Linked DNA regions of Drosophila melanogaster. The protein of the gene in region 1 purifies or fractionates together with the protein of each later gene. This does not show direct contact. Each region holds a gene or a part of one and is shown on either strand. Other genes may lie near its edges.

What was found. Proteins that work in one complex are often made in the same cells at the same time.
Region 2: the proteins of Ilp3 (region 1) and Sdr purify together in Drosophila melanogaster (affinity purification with western blotting, with the first as the bait; one study listed by BioGRID). This does not show direct contact.
Region 3: the proteins of Ilp3 (region 1) and ImpL2 purify together in Drosophila melanogaster (affinity purification with western blotting, with the first as the bait; one study listed by BioGRID). This does not show direct contact.

The regions. Positions count from the first base shown.
Region 1 is NT_037436.4:9,800,592-9,803,944, forward strand, and holds Ilp3 (Insulin-like peptide 3), read right to left. Parts: upstream 1,530-3,353; 5' UTR 1,459-1,529; coding exon 1,284-1,458; intron 1,212-1,283; coding exon 1,024-1,211; 3' UTR 707-1,023; downstream 1-706. Other genes in the region: Ilp4 (Insulin-like peptide 4), read right to left, coding at 3,057-3,295. UniProt on the Drosophila melanogaster protein: Possible ligand of InR/insulin-like receptor.
Region 2 is NT_033777.3:14,916,931-14,923,583, reverse strand, and holds Sdr (secreted decoy of InR), read right to left. Parts: upstream 4,957-6,653; 5' UTR 4,707-4,956; coding exon 4,155-4,706; intron 4,077-4,154; coding exon 3,539-4,076; intron 3,481-3,538; coding exon 3,333-3,480; intron 3,272-3,332; coding exon 2,876-3,271; intron 2,813-2,875; coding exon 2,596-2,812; intron 2,544-2,595; coding exon 2,287-2,543; intron 2,217-2,286; coding exon 1,718-2,216; 3' UTR 501-1,717; downstream 1-500.
Region 3 is NT_037436.4:4,224,210-4,227,756, forward strand, and holds ImpL2 (Ecdysone-inducible gene L2), read right to left. Parts: upstream 1,742-3,547; 5' UTR 1,684-1,741; coding exon 1,675-1,683; intron 1,498-1,674; coding exon 718-1,497; intron 643-717; coding exon 628-642; 3' UTR 501-627; downstream 1-500. Other genes in the region: CG46460 (uncharacterized protein), read right to left, coding at 2,472-2,567. UniProt on the Drosophila melanogaster protein: Essential developmental role during embryogenesis, in particular the normal development of the nervous system. May be involved in some aspect of cell adhesion.

The DNA.
Region 1 (3,353 bases):
TAAATTTATTGAAAACAAAAAAAATCTTAAAAAAACTTGAAACAATTTAAACCATTCATTCATTTCCAAAACTTGTTTCTGTCTTAATACAGTAGGCAATCCAATTGCAATTCAAAAGTTAGTCGCATGTGGGAAATTTCCAAATTTTAGTTCATAGCTTTTTTCGTACTTCGTTTATCGATGATTATATCATCCGTAAAGAAGTAATTGATCAAATCTTATAATCAAAACATTGACTTACTTTTATGTTGACCTTAAAAGTCGAGTATTTCTAGTCGCGGTTGGCCGATTTTATAGCAATACTCATAATTTAATCGTTCTGTGTAGTTGTAAATTAGAAGATTATTACATTTTGAAAGCTAAAATAAACGGAATCAACTAAATTCATGCAGACCTTAAATAACAATCACGCATTACCAAATGCAAGGCATTAAAAGTGCAAAACGGATAATCTTAGTAAATTAACTAAAATATTAATAAATATCGTTTTAAAACTGACCATTTCAGCGTAGGTTTTGAGGGCATTAAATTGGAATGATTTTAAACTTTACAATGAACAGAGTTTGTTAAAAAATCACAGCTTCCTTTTCAACATAGTTGCAAACAGAAATCCGGCCGCTGTTCAATAAATAATTAACTGCAATGAACGACAATGAAAAATCAATGTAATACCCGTTTCATTACCAATCAAGTTGGCCAATCTGCAGCAGTTTGAATACATAATTTATTTAATAATTTATACCCAGGCGATGTATTCTGGCCCCGCACAATCATACATATCTACCATGCATAACATCCCGTGTTCCGATTCATTTCGCGTGCCTGTCTCTGATTTCAGATCATAAATTATGCGCATACATCCCTCTTACATGTGCATATATATCATAAATCCAAAGTTGGAATTGAGTAGGCTTCGATAACGACTTAACAACTATGATTACGTGAGTGCTTTCCCCAATCGGGTCCTTTCATTCCATTTCAATCATCGCAGTTGTCGTCATTGGGTTAATAGGTTTACGAGGTTTACGTTCTCGGCTTGGCAGCACAATATCTCAGCACCTCATCCATGGTGCACGACTTCAGGCAACACTCGTCGAAGACTCCATCCCGAAGACGTCGAGTCTTGAGCATCTGAACCGAACTATCACTCAACAGTCTTTCCAGCAGGGAACGGTCTTCGAAGCCATCGATCTGATTGAAGTTCACGGGGTCTACAGGTGTTAGGTGAAAGTAAAGAGATATGGCACTTTAGTATTCCTTATATCAAGAAAAATCCCACCTACCCAAAGTTCTCTTGGTCATTGCGTTGAAGCCATACACACAGAGCTTGGAGAGAGTTTCGGGCAGTTTGCGGCCGCACAACTTCATGGTGGCCTGGACACCGCCGATCATAAGGATTAGTAGGAGTAGGCTAGGTAGCAGGATCCTCCTGTCCTGACACCTCATCTCGATGCCCATGAGTGATGAAGTGGTGTTTAAGTATGGATGCGTGAATCCCCCGGGGAGTGTGTAGTATGTGTCTGCCAAGTGGCACGGCCTCAACTGTTTGCCTCCCAGCCATCGACTGAGGGTTATATATATGGGGCAGAATCGGATAGGATACGAGTTGGATGTCTGCGGGCTGTATCCAGCGTCTGAGCACTGTCAGCATGAGTCAGCCGTAGTGTCAGTTAGCATCATCCACATATGTAGTTCGCCCTGGTCTGGTCTAGTTTCTCGTGAGGATTCGGGCTGGCATGGGATGTCTGAAATGGTGAGATGATGATGAGCCCGGGGGGTCTGACGCATATCAGCTGGCGTTTGTTTACTTTCTCGCCCAAGGAGTAGCGCACGGATCTGGATTGTTGAAAAACAAAATGACGTGCATCGAGTTCCCTTCGGCAGACGAGGATGTTCATCCATTTTGGTGGGTTCAGAAAGTTTAACTGTAAAGTTTAGCAGTTTAACTATATAGTTCTATGCATACATATTTAAACTCACATTTGGCAAGCTACTAAAAGTAAACTTACTTGAAATATATTCATTGATTAAATAAACACTTTTTCGAATTAGTCATTTATTAAATTTGGAATGTAATAAAAATTACCTAAAGAATAATGATACTTTCAAAACTACTTAAATTCTTTAAATTAACACAAAAGCCATTACGTTTTAACAACACTTTTAGAGCTTATTTCATTCCCATTCAATTAAAAACGAGTGCCAACTTATTCAATTGCTTTTGAGTGGAAAACAATAAAGTCGCCTTCTGTTATCTCATTATCTTGGCTCAGTACCTTCGATACTTTATGGTTTCCCCAAGTCCCTTTTGCCAATGATAAGCCAACTGAGCCTTTTTTCCGTCCGCAAAAAAACAGGTATTAGTATAGATTTTTACCTGTAAGAACGGAATTATTATCATTTCAAAACCCTTCGGTTGAATAGAGTGTTATCTTCGGAAAATCCCGCTACTGATTGGAAGTTGTTTTCTAGTTTTGATATCGCTCCTTCGATAATAACAAAAATTATGGATAAAAAGGAAGCTGTAAATTCGAATCTGAGTGTATTACCGAGTTCGTTTTGTCTCCACCTTTTGTTTTGCTTATTAAAATCAGAACGTCATCTAATTAAAAATTCATATTTTTCATTATTGTTCTCGGAAAACAAGGGCACCGCACTCGAGGTGCTGAATGGCAGCTGCTTGTGGGTGGCTCGATGGTTTGGGTGGCTTCGGGTGGTTTGAATAACAAGGGGATTCCCCATGCCTCACAGCTGGAATGCTGCAGGGCGTAGAATGTAGAAAAAAGCAATGGACTCTTCTTTTGTTTCTGCTGCTGCTTGGAGAGTAACTTTATTTGCCTCCACTAGAAATTTTACAATGAAATATTTGGAAATACGATTACGTTTATAGTTAGGGGTTAAGTGTAGTAGGAAAATGAATTGCAAATAGCCTGCCGGTCGTCGGGTGTTTTCCCCGTGCCGCCACACAAAATCTCAGCCATGTCGTGTTCATCTGGTACTTGGTTTTTGGGATCTGGTTTCTGGTTTTTATTTGTTTTGTTTTGCCATCCTGGTCATCAGGCGCAGTAGTCCAGTATATCGTCGTAGGTGCAGCCCTCCTTGCAACACTCGTGGGCGATGCGTCGCCGATGGCGTCGCAACTTTCGTCCACTTCCGACGGCCGGTGGCACACCCTTCTCCGTATCCGCATCCGTATGCTTCTGCTTTAACCTTCCCGTTTCCGTTTCCTGTTCAATGTCCTCATCCGGCTGCTGTAGCTTACGGATAAGGTCTCGCACTCTAGCATCCTTAGACGCTTGTCGAAAAGAAGTTAGATGTATGGAAGCCAATCGAATATGCATAGTACCCAAACT
Region 2 (6,653 bases), on another chromosome or scaffold:
AACTGCTAAACTGACGCACTGACATCGACGAACCGCACCCAAAGTGCTTGGCCCGGCAAGTGCATAGATAACAAACGAGTGCAAGGATAACGAGGCTACACGGCAAGGACTACGTTTGCAACCACAGCTACAGCTGCTACTACAACTGCGTCTATGGCAACGGAAATAACGCGAAAAATGGTGCAACAGCAAAGGGCGAAGAGGAGGGGACAGTGAAATATTGAAATACAATTGGTTTAGGATAAGATCACACACAGCCCCATATCTCTTCCTTCCTCCACTTAAAGACGGCGCCAAAGGATGTGGCATAAGTGGTTTCCAGCTGCCCAGCATTTTGCTTTAAGTCCAGCCAGTTGATTTAAATGGCTACATCAAAAATTGAAAAAGAGATTAGTTACACTCAGTAGGTTGAATAAGGTTTGCCAGCGGGTATTAGCTCACTAAAAAGAAACTCTAGCTTAGACTAACAAATATGATAAACTTGAGTATTTTTAAAGGGAATTTTATTGTAGACAATGAAATGTTATACCTTTTATTGATTGGCTTTCAATTGCAGTATATTATATATGACCTAAATTTGTGCTAGTGAGTTTCTTGCAGTGAAGCTTCCAAAGTACGCGAAGGGATAGTCGCCAAGTTACCCCCTTTGGAGTACTTCACTCGCGACCTCTAAGGTAGTTAAATTGCGCGTCAGTGTCAGCGGCAGAATTGAAATCCTTTTCCTCTGCAGGCACTCTGAGCGTCCTTAGCTTCCCGCATCCCGCTCACCCCTCGCCGCTCATACTTAGTCCTGCGTCAATCACGAACCGCTTTTCCCCATTGAGTGGGACACGTTTTCATGGAACTTTTCCAGCTGCGCCGAAAACTTGGCCACAAACAAGGCGACACATGACACGTACTCGACTTGACTCCACTCCACACCGAAAGCAAAAGCATCGTCTCGACCTAGTCCCTTTCCGCCCAGTTTTCGATGGTGGGGATTAGTTCTAGTTTTTGTCAGTGTTTTAAAGTTTAAAGCTCTTTTGCGGCATATTTGCATATTAAGTGGCATGCGTTGGAAGTTCCAGGCAGCCTGCTGTTGTTAGTTTCGCCTAGGCTTATGCCATGGCCAATCTCGAGAGAAAGGTAACCGCTTTCCGGGCCAAGTTGAGGATCTCAGGAATCACTGCTGTCAGTGAGGGTTTTTCCCTTTGAACGGTTTCTGGCTCTGGCACACATTGCAAGGACGTGCGGCTAAGTCTGATAAGCTGATAAGTCAAATTAGCACTGATGAAAACATTTGCTCGCTTGTCGAGGATTTGTTTGGCATTTACACATTTACAATACATTTGGAGGAACTACAGTCACTTGACTTACAATACTTAGTTGGGCCCATATGACACGGCTTACACATTACATTACATTTTAACAATTGATTCAAGTAAAAAGCATTAAAGCTGTTCAGTCTAATTATAATCAAAGTTAAAAACCGAAAAATATTAAAAAAAAAAATTAATTCCAAATAGTAAAACTACGACATATATAGTCTGGAAAAATAAGAGGTCCAGCGGTCCTTCTATGTCAAGTTTTTTAGAACAATAAATACAGATATAGTAAATGTTAAACACGTTGATTTAGGTTGATATTGCATCAAGTTTTCAACATGCCTATCGTCATATGGGTCTAGCATTTATCACTTGTCAGCGGATACAGAAAGTCTGCGATCGAGGATTCTCTGCTAAACACCCTTGATGAATCGCTCCAGTTGGATGCTTGCAGTCTTGATTACAGCTTCCGCCGGAGTTGAGCATCCGTTGACCACGCCCTCGACGCAAGCCCGTATGGTGATCCGGTAATGGGTTTCCGGCTCCAACTGGGAGAGGCAGTAAAAGTGCTGGGTGCCCGGAAGTTCGTAGCCACTCAAGGGCTCCTCAGCCACGCATTTTTCCTCCACTTGCTGGACCACGGATGCGTGGGAGTTTTGGCACTTGGGCAAGGCATGTCGGATGGTATACTTGTGCTGGTCCAAGTCCTGAAGATCCCGCTGCTTCTTCTCGCTATTCAGGCGATAATTCTCATAGTTAATTGCGGCCAATCTCTCCTTAGCCAATGTTGCATTTGTAGGAGCAGGAGTGGTTGTGGGCGGTCTGGTGGGCTCTTCATCCTTCTTTATGGACAACAGGTGCTCATAGTTAATCACTTTTTCGAACTCCTTTCTGCGATAGTCGTGATTGCGCCTATAGATGGTATAATATTGTATATTATTTCAATTGAAACTTCAAAGAAAACCATATTTTCTTGTCTTACGAAACATAAATGAGATTGGGCAACGCATCCTCGTAGGTGATTTGCTCTTTGTTGTAGTAATCCTCGTCATCTGGCTGAGGACCTGAATAGTAGGGCAGTACACCAGCGCACTCACAATCGATGTCTTTAGCATTTTCCAACTCAACATTCACATAATTTTTGTCCTTTGCTTCCTTGGTAGCATTGTACTTTTCGGCGGTCACAAAATAATTTTTAATGACTCCATTTGGACGCCTCGGTGGCCACCAGTGAAGAAGCTGGAAATGAACAAGTTTTTAAGCTGAGAGATATATTTTGAAAAGTACTTACAATCTGGGAACTGATTTCCGAACTGCCATATATTCGGAGCACAGGACTTGGCCTATCCGGTAGCGTCTGGAAGTAGCCGATTTTTGAGTAGGCATCTATCTGAATATGATATTCGGTTCTGGTGAGGGTCTTCACGAAATACGCATACTGTGTGTAGGGCTTCAGACCGCTTATCACATGACGTCGACTCTGGTTGGGCACAACGTCCATCAGCCAGCTGGAAAATTATAAACAGAATCACTGTAGGTAAACTTGGTGAGGGCGAGGAGTCCACACCCACTTGTCATGACCGCAACCATGCCGACCATCGTACATAGTCACGTTTTGCACCGGGGCTTCCTTGTAGTGATACGAATATCCTATTAGCGTTTCCATACCCTCCCAGTCCATGTAGTCCAGGATGATGCGTACCGCAGTGGAATTTAGGTCCTCCACTTTGGGATTGAGGGAGCGCACCGCGTCGCCACAAATCACGCGTTCGCCGTTCGAATTGGGGGATACATCTGCCACGGATATATTCTCTCCGCTTTTCAGGGAGCCCTGTAGCTGATGGATTTTCTCGTAGCACAGGCGGGGATTCAGGTGAAAGAATAGTGTACCGCGCTGAATGATCACCAGGTGATTGGGTGGCCAAATGTGCTCCAAATGGTAGTTATTCACTACATACAGGGCGTATCTGAAAATGAGATAAATAATATTATTAGAATTTCAATACAATCCTTGCCTCTCAAACTAACTTGTTTTCCACCAGCTTATCCCCTCTTATGGCATCCAAATTCTGAAGAAATGTGAGCGACATCAGCTGTGCAGAGTGTATGACCTTCAGATACCCAGTGATCTCTTTAACACTGGCCAACGCATTTTCCAAGGCATCTACAATTTTTTCTGGAAAATGTATTATGTAAGTAAATTATACAGATATCATATATGATATGAAACACACCTTTAATATTGGTGAGTTCGATGGTAAGTGAACCATTGATCGTCACACAGTCTTGTAAAACTTCCAGGTCGGCAGCACTCTTCACGTGAAAATCGCCGTTGCACTCCACCTGGCAGTGGATGATGCCCTTGGCGACCAAAATCTCTTTCTGGTTTCCCGGACACTTTTTCACACACTGATAGCCGCGTATCAGGGGAATCCTTCCCAATTCCCGGCACTCCCTGTGACCGATGCACCTCCTCTTGTTTAATTCATAGCTGGCGACACACTGATTGACACATCCCATTCTTCCCTGGTAGTTTGCACAAAGGGAGCAGTTTTGGGAATAGCAACCAGTTACACAGTTGTGATCACAACATTTGCCCGCACTATCACATCCGTTTAGGCCACATGCAATGGGGCAGTCCTTAAGTCTGGGCGGTTGGGGGCGAAGTTGTGTCGTATTCACGTTCCAGCAGCGCTCCGAGGAGTTCCGGATGAACTCGAAGTCCGCTGACAGGCTACCACACAAAGGGCACTGACTTTGCGGTCTGTTGTGCTATGGTTAATAAAAAAGTTATTTATCCAATATTTGCTTAATATCAAGGAACATATGCCCAAGTATATCTTCACTCACTTTAAGGGAAAAGTGCTGCCGAGTGGCATTGCCCATTAGATATATCCAATCGACGGTTTCCACGAAGCACAGCAAGGGATTCGATTCGACGCGAATGAATCCGCTCTGGATGCGCAATAACTCCACCAGGCCGAGCTCCCTGAGATTGCGATTCTCGTAGACCACCAGGGAGTACTGATCAAAGAGGAGCTCCTGCCCACGAATGATACGCAGCCGTGGGAATATCGACTGCAGGCTGATCAGACCCGTGCAGCGATACACCATTAGGTAGTCACTGATCTCGGTCACATTGCTGGCCAGCGAATCCAGGCTGTAGTTGCCGGATACATCCGTCAGATCCACATAGGCCAGTCGAACGTGACCCACCACATGAGTACAGTTCTGCAGTTTCCGCAGGTCCGCAATCTTATTTATCTCCAACGATCCGCAGGCGGTTTGATCATCGGAACTGGCCAAAACCGGCGATGAGGCGCCCAAAAACAGCAGTATCAACGGAACTGCGATCGAGATGGGGATCGGAAGGGGGTTGGGAACGGGGTGCAGATGCCCCATGCTGCCACCTGACACTTCCAATTGAGAGCACTTGACCCGGGCGTTAAGGGGGCTTCCAATGGATCAATTAGCGCGCCCGCTTGAATGTCAATGTCGTTTTTCTCGCACGATCGATCGGTTGAACTATATATTTTTTTAAATATTTTTTCCGCTTTTGAAGAGAGCTGCGTTCGCGGCAACGATTCGATTTGGACTGATGGCATTCGATTCGAACAGCGTTCTGTGCTTTCGATCTCTTTAATTAGCCTCTTCTTTCGGCATTCACTTTGTTTTGTTTTGTTTGGTTTTGTTTCACACTGTTATTTCTTTTTTATGCGCTCGTCTTCGTTCTCTAAACCCTTCGGCTACACCAGCGGAAAATCGTGTAGTGTTCATAAAACTATTCAAATTTGTCGACATTTATAAGAACCTAAAAATGTATGCAAAGCGAACATATTTAGTAACCTTTTTCTTAAGCAAAATATCTTTTAAGCAGATTTCCAAAATTATTACAATAATAAAATATTTAGCATATTGTTTGATAGAGCCAATTCTAATATAAATATCTAAATATCTTCAAAAACCAGAACTATTTTTTCGACTCGGTGTATAAAAACTGCTCAAGAATGAAAATCAAAGGTGGTGGCTGTTGTGAGAGAAGAAGACTGATGATTCGATGGGGAGCAGTCTGGTAATATTTACGTTAATGAAAGTAAACATTTCGTAAAACAATATCGTAAAATAATATACTTGCCGGTCTTGCTATTTGTTTGTTTCTAGTTTTCTCAATCAAATTTAAACCCCCTAATGCCCTTTTGCAGTCAATTAAAAAAGTGATATACGAAACTTAAAATTAAGATTAAGAGTACCATGATAATTCGTATGATCTTTTACGGTTTTTGATAGATCGATTTGTGGAGCTACAAATGAAATTCAAAAACTGGAAACCCTTTTTGAAATTCTTGGCACGCCACTGTTTCATTTTGTTGGGGAGCGATTATTTTACGCATCTGTTACCTTTCACGTTTTTCTCATTGTCGTTTCCTTGTTGCCGTCAGCCGAAAAACACTTGTTACTTCTGCAACCGCCACAGCCCCTTGCCACGCCCCCACTCCCCATGTGACCTTGCAACCATTTGCAAACCGGTTGGATCCTCTTCCCCCTTCCTCCTTAGCTACCTTCCCCTTAGCCACCTACCGGCGTTCTTTACCTTTTTCCCCAGAGTGCATGTCTTTGCCTTTTGTTTTTGCATTTGCGCAGAAATTAAATTGCACCGGCGAACAATTCAATTAGAGTGAATGCAAAAAAACAGTGAAAATAAGAGCGAAAATGGTGGGAGGGGGTGAACCAAAGCTCCAATCCAATTGGTAGAGTAGTGAGCATTGAACAACGCGCAATTGGCAGTTCATTAAGGTGCAAGTAACGCTCAATGGAATCGGAAAAAGAATTTTCTAAATTTAGTCAGATGCCAATTGAATACGCAGCTTGAATGATTGTTCAATAACAAAAAAATAGATAATATATTTATGTGTTAAATACAATAGCAATAGAAATCTATAAATAATTTGCGCAAAATTGTGCCCCGTTGTTTTAGATATTTTAATGGGCAAACCACATAAAAACGCACGAAATAATTTCAAATTTTCACTTTGTTATTATAGGGTATATCTTTAGTGTAGTACTTTGAATATATCATTACATATGTAACAGCGGATAAAATCTGCCTAATTCACCCCAGGATAATTATTTAGTTATTATATCTATTCCAAAAATTATTTTAAACATAATAATTTATGTTACCGTCGCGATAATCCATTCAAAATTAGTTAATAATTGATAAAACCATCATCAATGGTCAATATAGGCAGTAATTTATTATTATTATTTATCATAAAACGTTATTTTTAGCTTTAAATATGCTTAAAGCCAACTTCTATTTCTAAAAACAAAACTGCCATAAACTGTATC
Region 3 (3,547 bases), 5.6 Mb from region 1:
TCTGTATGGGTGGCGATGCTGAATGAATTTGGTCGATCAATAAATTAGTTGTAGAAATGATGGGTGCACATAAATACGAATTGGGTGGGTGATTGACTGATTGATTGGTTGATTGACTGTGGCTTGTGCCACGAGTCATAAGTGCTTCTTGGGCTGCAGTGCCCTTAAGTAAACGGCCAATTAGTTTAAATACGTTAACTAGTGCTGCCTGAATCGCTAGGAACAATCATTGCTACTTACAAAGAACCAAAGAAGCGTGATTACAAGCCGATAACTAAAGCTATAATTGAAGAAAACCATAAAGTAGGTGCTATAATTCGAATGCTCTAAATGTGACTGATATTCGAGGATAATAAGTGGGAAAATTAGTGTCTAAGCCGGCATTAGATACGGTTAATTACCTGGACTACGAGCTAGATTGTGCTTAATCTAAATTGTACATAATTGTAAATCGTATGACCTTTTGATCCATCATATTTTTTTTTGATTTTTTTTTTTTTGTATTTTTTCTAAGCATATTTCATTTCTTTTCACGCATCTTCGAAGGCATTTGATCTATCTAACTAACTAGATGAATTTCCGTCGTCAATCCAATAGCCTTTTGTTTTTTATTTGGTGGTAGGATCTTTAGTCTTCCTCATTCTGCAAGGACAAGAAAAATACGTAGGGATTACTTAGGATGAGTTGGTATAACCCGGCGGGTAGGGGAATACTTACAAGTACGGGATACACGAAGGTATCGGCGGTATCCTTTCCGACGACGTTGCGGGCTATGCACTTGTAGTTGCCCATATCCTCCCACTTGATCTCGGAGATCAGAAGATCGCCGTTGGCCAGCACCCTGTGGCGATGTCCTTGGACGATCTCCTTGTTCTCGTTATTCAACCAGGTGATCTCGGCGCGGGGACGGGCGTGCACGCGGCAGGGCAGCTGAATGTTGGAGCCCATGAGGTCCAGATGCGTCTTCTCGGTGTAGATGATTCGCGGTTTCTGGGCACCCGGGTAGGTCTTCTCCGGCGTCAGACGAGAGGAGCGAGGAGGATGCACCACAGTGCTGGCATAGATGGTCTTGGAGCCAGTGCGTCCCACACACGTGTAGGTGCGGGCCTCGCTCAGCACGTGGTCGATGATATGCGACGATCGGACGCGCACAATGGCACTGGGCGCCTCTTCGGCAACCTGGTTGGAGTCCAGATCATCGAGCTCCGAGCGGGGCAGGTGACCCACCACCCACTGGATGCTGGGCACTTGGGAGCCCATCATCTCGCAAACGATCTCGATGGTGGCTCCATCGGCCTGCTGCAGCTTCGTCGGCGGCGTCTTGGTGAACTTGAGCCAGTCGGCTTCGAAGGCTCGGTTGCGTGGCTTCTCCTCCTCCGCCTCGATGGAGTTATCCACGTCGTTGCTATCGTCTACCAGGTCCACGGCTCTTCCGCGGACAGTGGCGATGCTGCCGAACAGCAGCAGCGCTAAGGCGCACACATGTAAATTCATTTTCTGCAAGATCGATAGAGAGAGTGGAAATCGGAAGTGAGTTCAAAGTTCAACAGCGGCACTCGTACGACTCTAATATAGGTTATTAAACCCCAGAGCAACGTGATGCGATTAGCCCGACTTTTCAGCCAGTCATGCATCCCCCCACCACCCCACCACCCCACTTCCCCCACTCATCACCGCCTCCATTAATCAGGGGAGGTCTCCGAGTCTATTTCCCCGATAAGAACGCAAGGCCTTCAGTCGGCGGGCTCTAGAACATTACTAACACTTGCGAAATGTGCTAATGGCTCTCGGAGTCCGGAATTTAGATTCGGAATCCTTTTCCGGCCCCTAAGAGATGTGCTCGGTCCAAACGTAGATGAATGTATTTCACAATGACACGTCACCAGACAACAAGAATTGACAAAAGAAAATGATATAAGATTCTTGCGTGGGCCGAATCAGAGGCAGAAATCGAAAACGGAAAACGGAATGACTCGCGGAGTGTGACGTCAATTTAAATTCGAATTCTACAGCCCGATTCGGATTCACACACTCACCCACGCTTCAGCCGCAGATCAAGGGCCAATGTGTCCCCATAGTCTAGACTGGACAAACTGCGTGACCGATTAATTATTCAAATAGTTTCGAGGGTATTATGTATGTACATACGCTTGTATGTATGAATTAGTAGTAGCCCCACAAAAAGTCATTCGCCAATCGCTGGCGAATGTTGCATCAGACGGTCTTTGCCCTTCGACGGTGATTTTTGTATCTTTGGGCATTTCTACGAATTCGAATTTTGAAAAAAAAAAAACAAACGAAAAACGGAACACGAAACTGCGTTCGGCGGCAATCACCTATCTATTGTTAACGCACATTACTCACCCTTTGATTTGATTTCTTTTTTCTCTTCCGGTAAAAAATGTTTGCAAATTTCTCCCCAACGTTGGACGATGATAGATCAGGTAAAGCAGAAGCAGGTCGGCTTATCGTTATGTTATGAACGAATTTATCAGCTCTATGTTGTGATGGCTCCTGGTCTGGGCTTTCTGGTTGAAGTTGAGCAGCAGCTGGCTTAGCACTGACATAGGTCCGGCGCTGGATGCCGTCTTGGAGGTCGTGCAGCTCAGTGTTGGTGGAATCTTGGCTGCTTGCCGGTCTGTCTTGGGCGACGAGGATGGATCGTATTGAAACGTCTGGGTGCTGTGCTCGGGAGTGGCGCTTCAGGATCGGGATAAGGATCGAGTAATTGGGTAGCGGAAGCGTGTTAATCTCAGGCGGCGTAGCGAATATCTAGCTGACTACTTTGGCACATTCGATCCTCGTGGCGGTATCAGTGCTCCTTCGATGTGGACGTGGACTTGGTCTGGTACTTCTTGATGGTTGTCTGGTTGGCGCGGCACTCGTTTGAATACGCACGGTTCATCGACATTACACTCGAGTCAAGGTGTGTTGGTTTTTGGTTTTTGGGGGGGATTGCTGCTGCGAATGCGGTTCACGGCGAATTGAAAAGCGAGGATCGCGGATCGGCTTAGTTAACTTCGGATCAGTTGGCTTCGGCGGCTCTCAAAAGTCGTGTTCAACAGCTGGAAACTGTAACAGAACTGAATTGGTGGCCGCAGCGCTGTTCCATTTATATGCGACGCCGGCTCACTCACACACACACACAGACAACAGACACACACACACACACTCTCACTCACTCGCCGCTCTCTCTCTGCTCGTTCTCGGATCGTAATTCTTTATGCGACCGCCGCACCGGGAAGGTGCGGAACAAAACAGATATAACCGGACGGGGGGTTCGATTATCCGCCTCGGGATCTGTCTTTCCACCGCCTAATTGCGTCCGCAGTCCAGAGTTGGTGGTTTGGAAACTGAGGTGTCTCACAAGGATAGCTCAATGACTTTCCAGCCCATATACCATTTCATTTCGATCTTGACAATTAACATTGTCATCTTATGCAAGTTGTTGAGAACATACAACAGTGTTCGAGATCCTATGACTTTCTATCACATGTAAGTAAAATTAATTAACCCTACATATAAAGGTGCTTCACACTACTCTGTT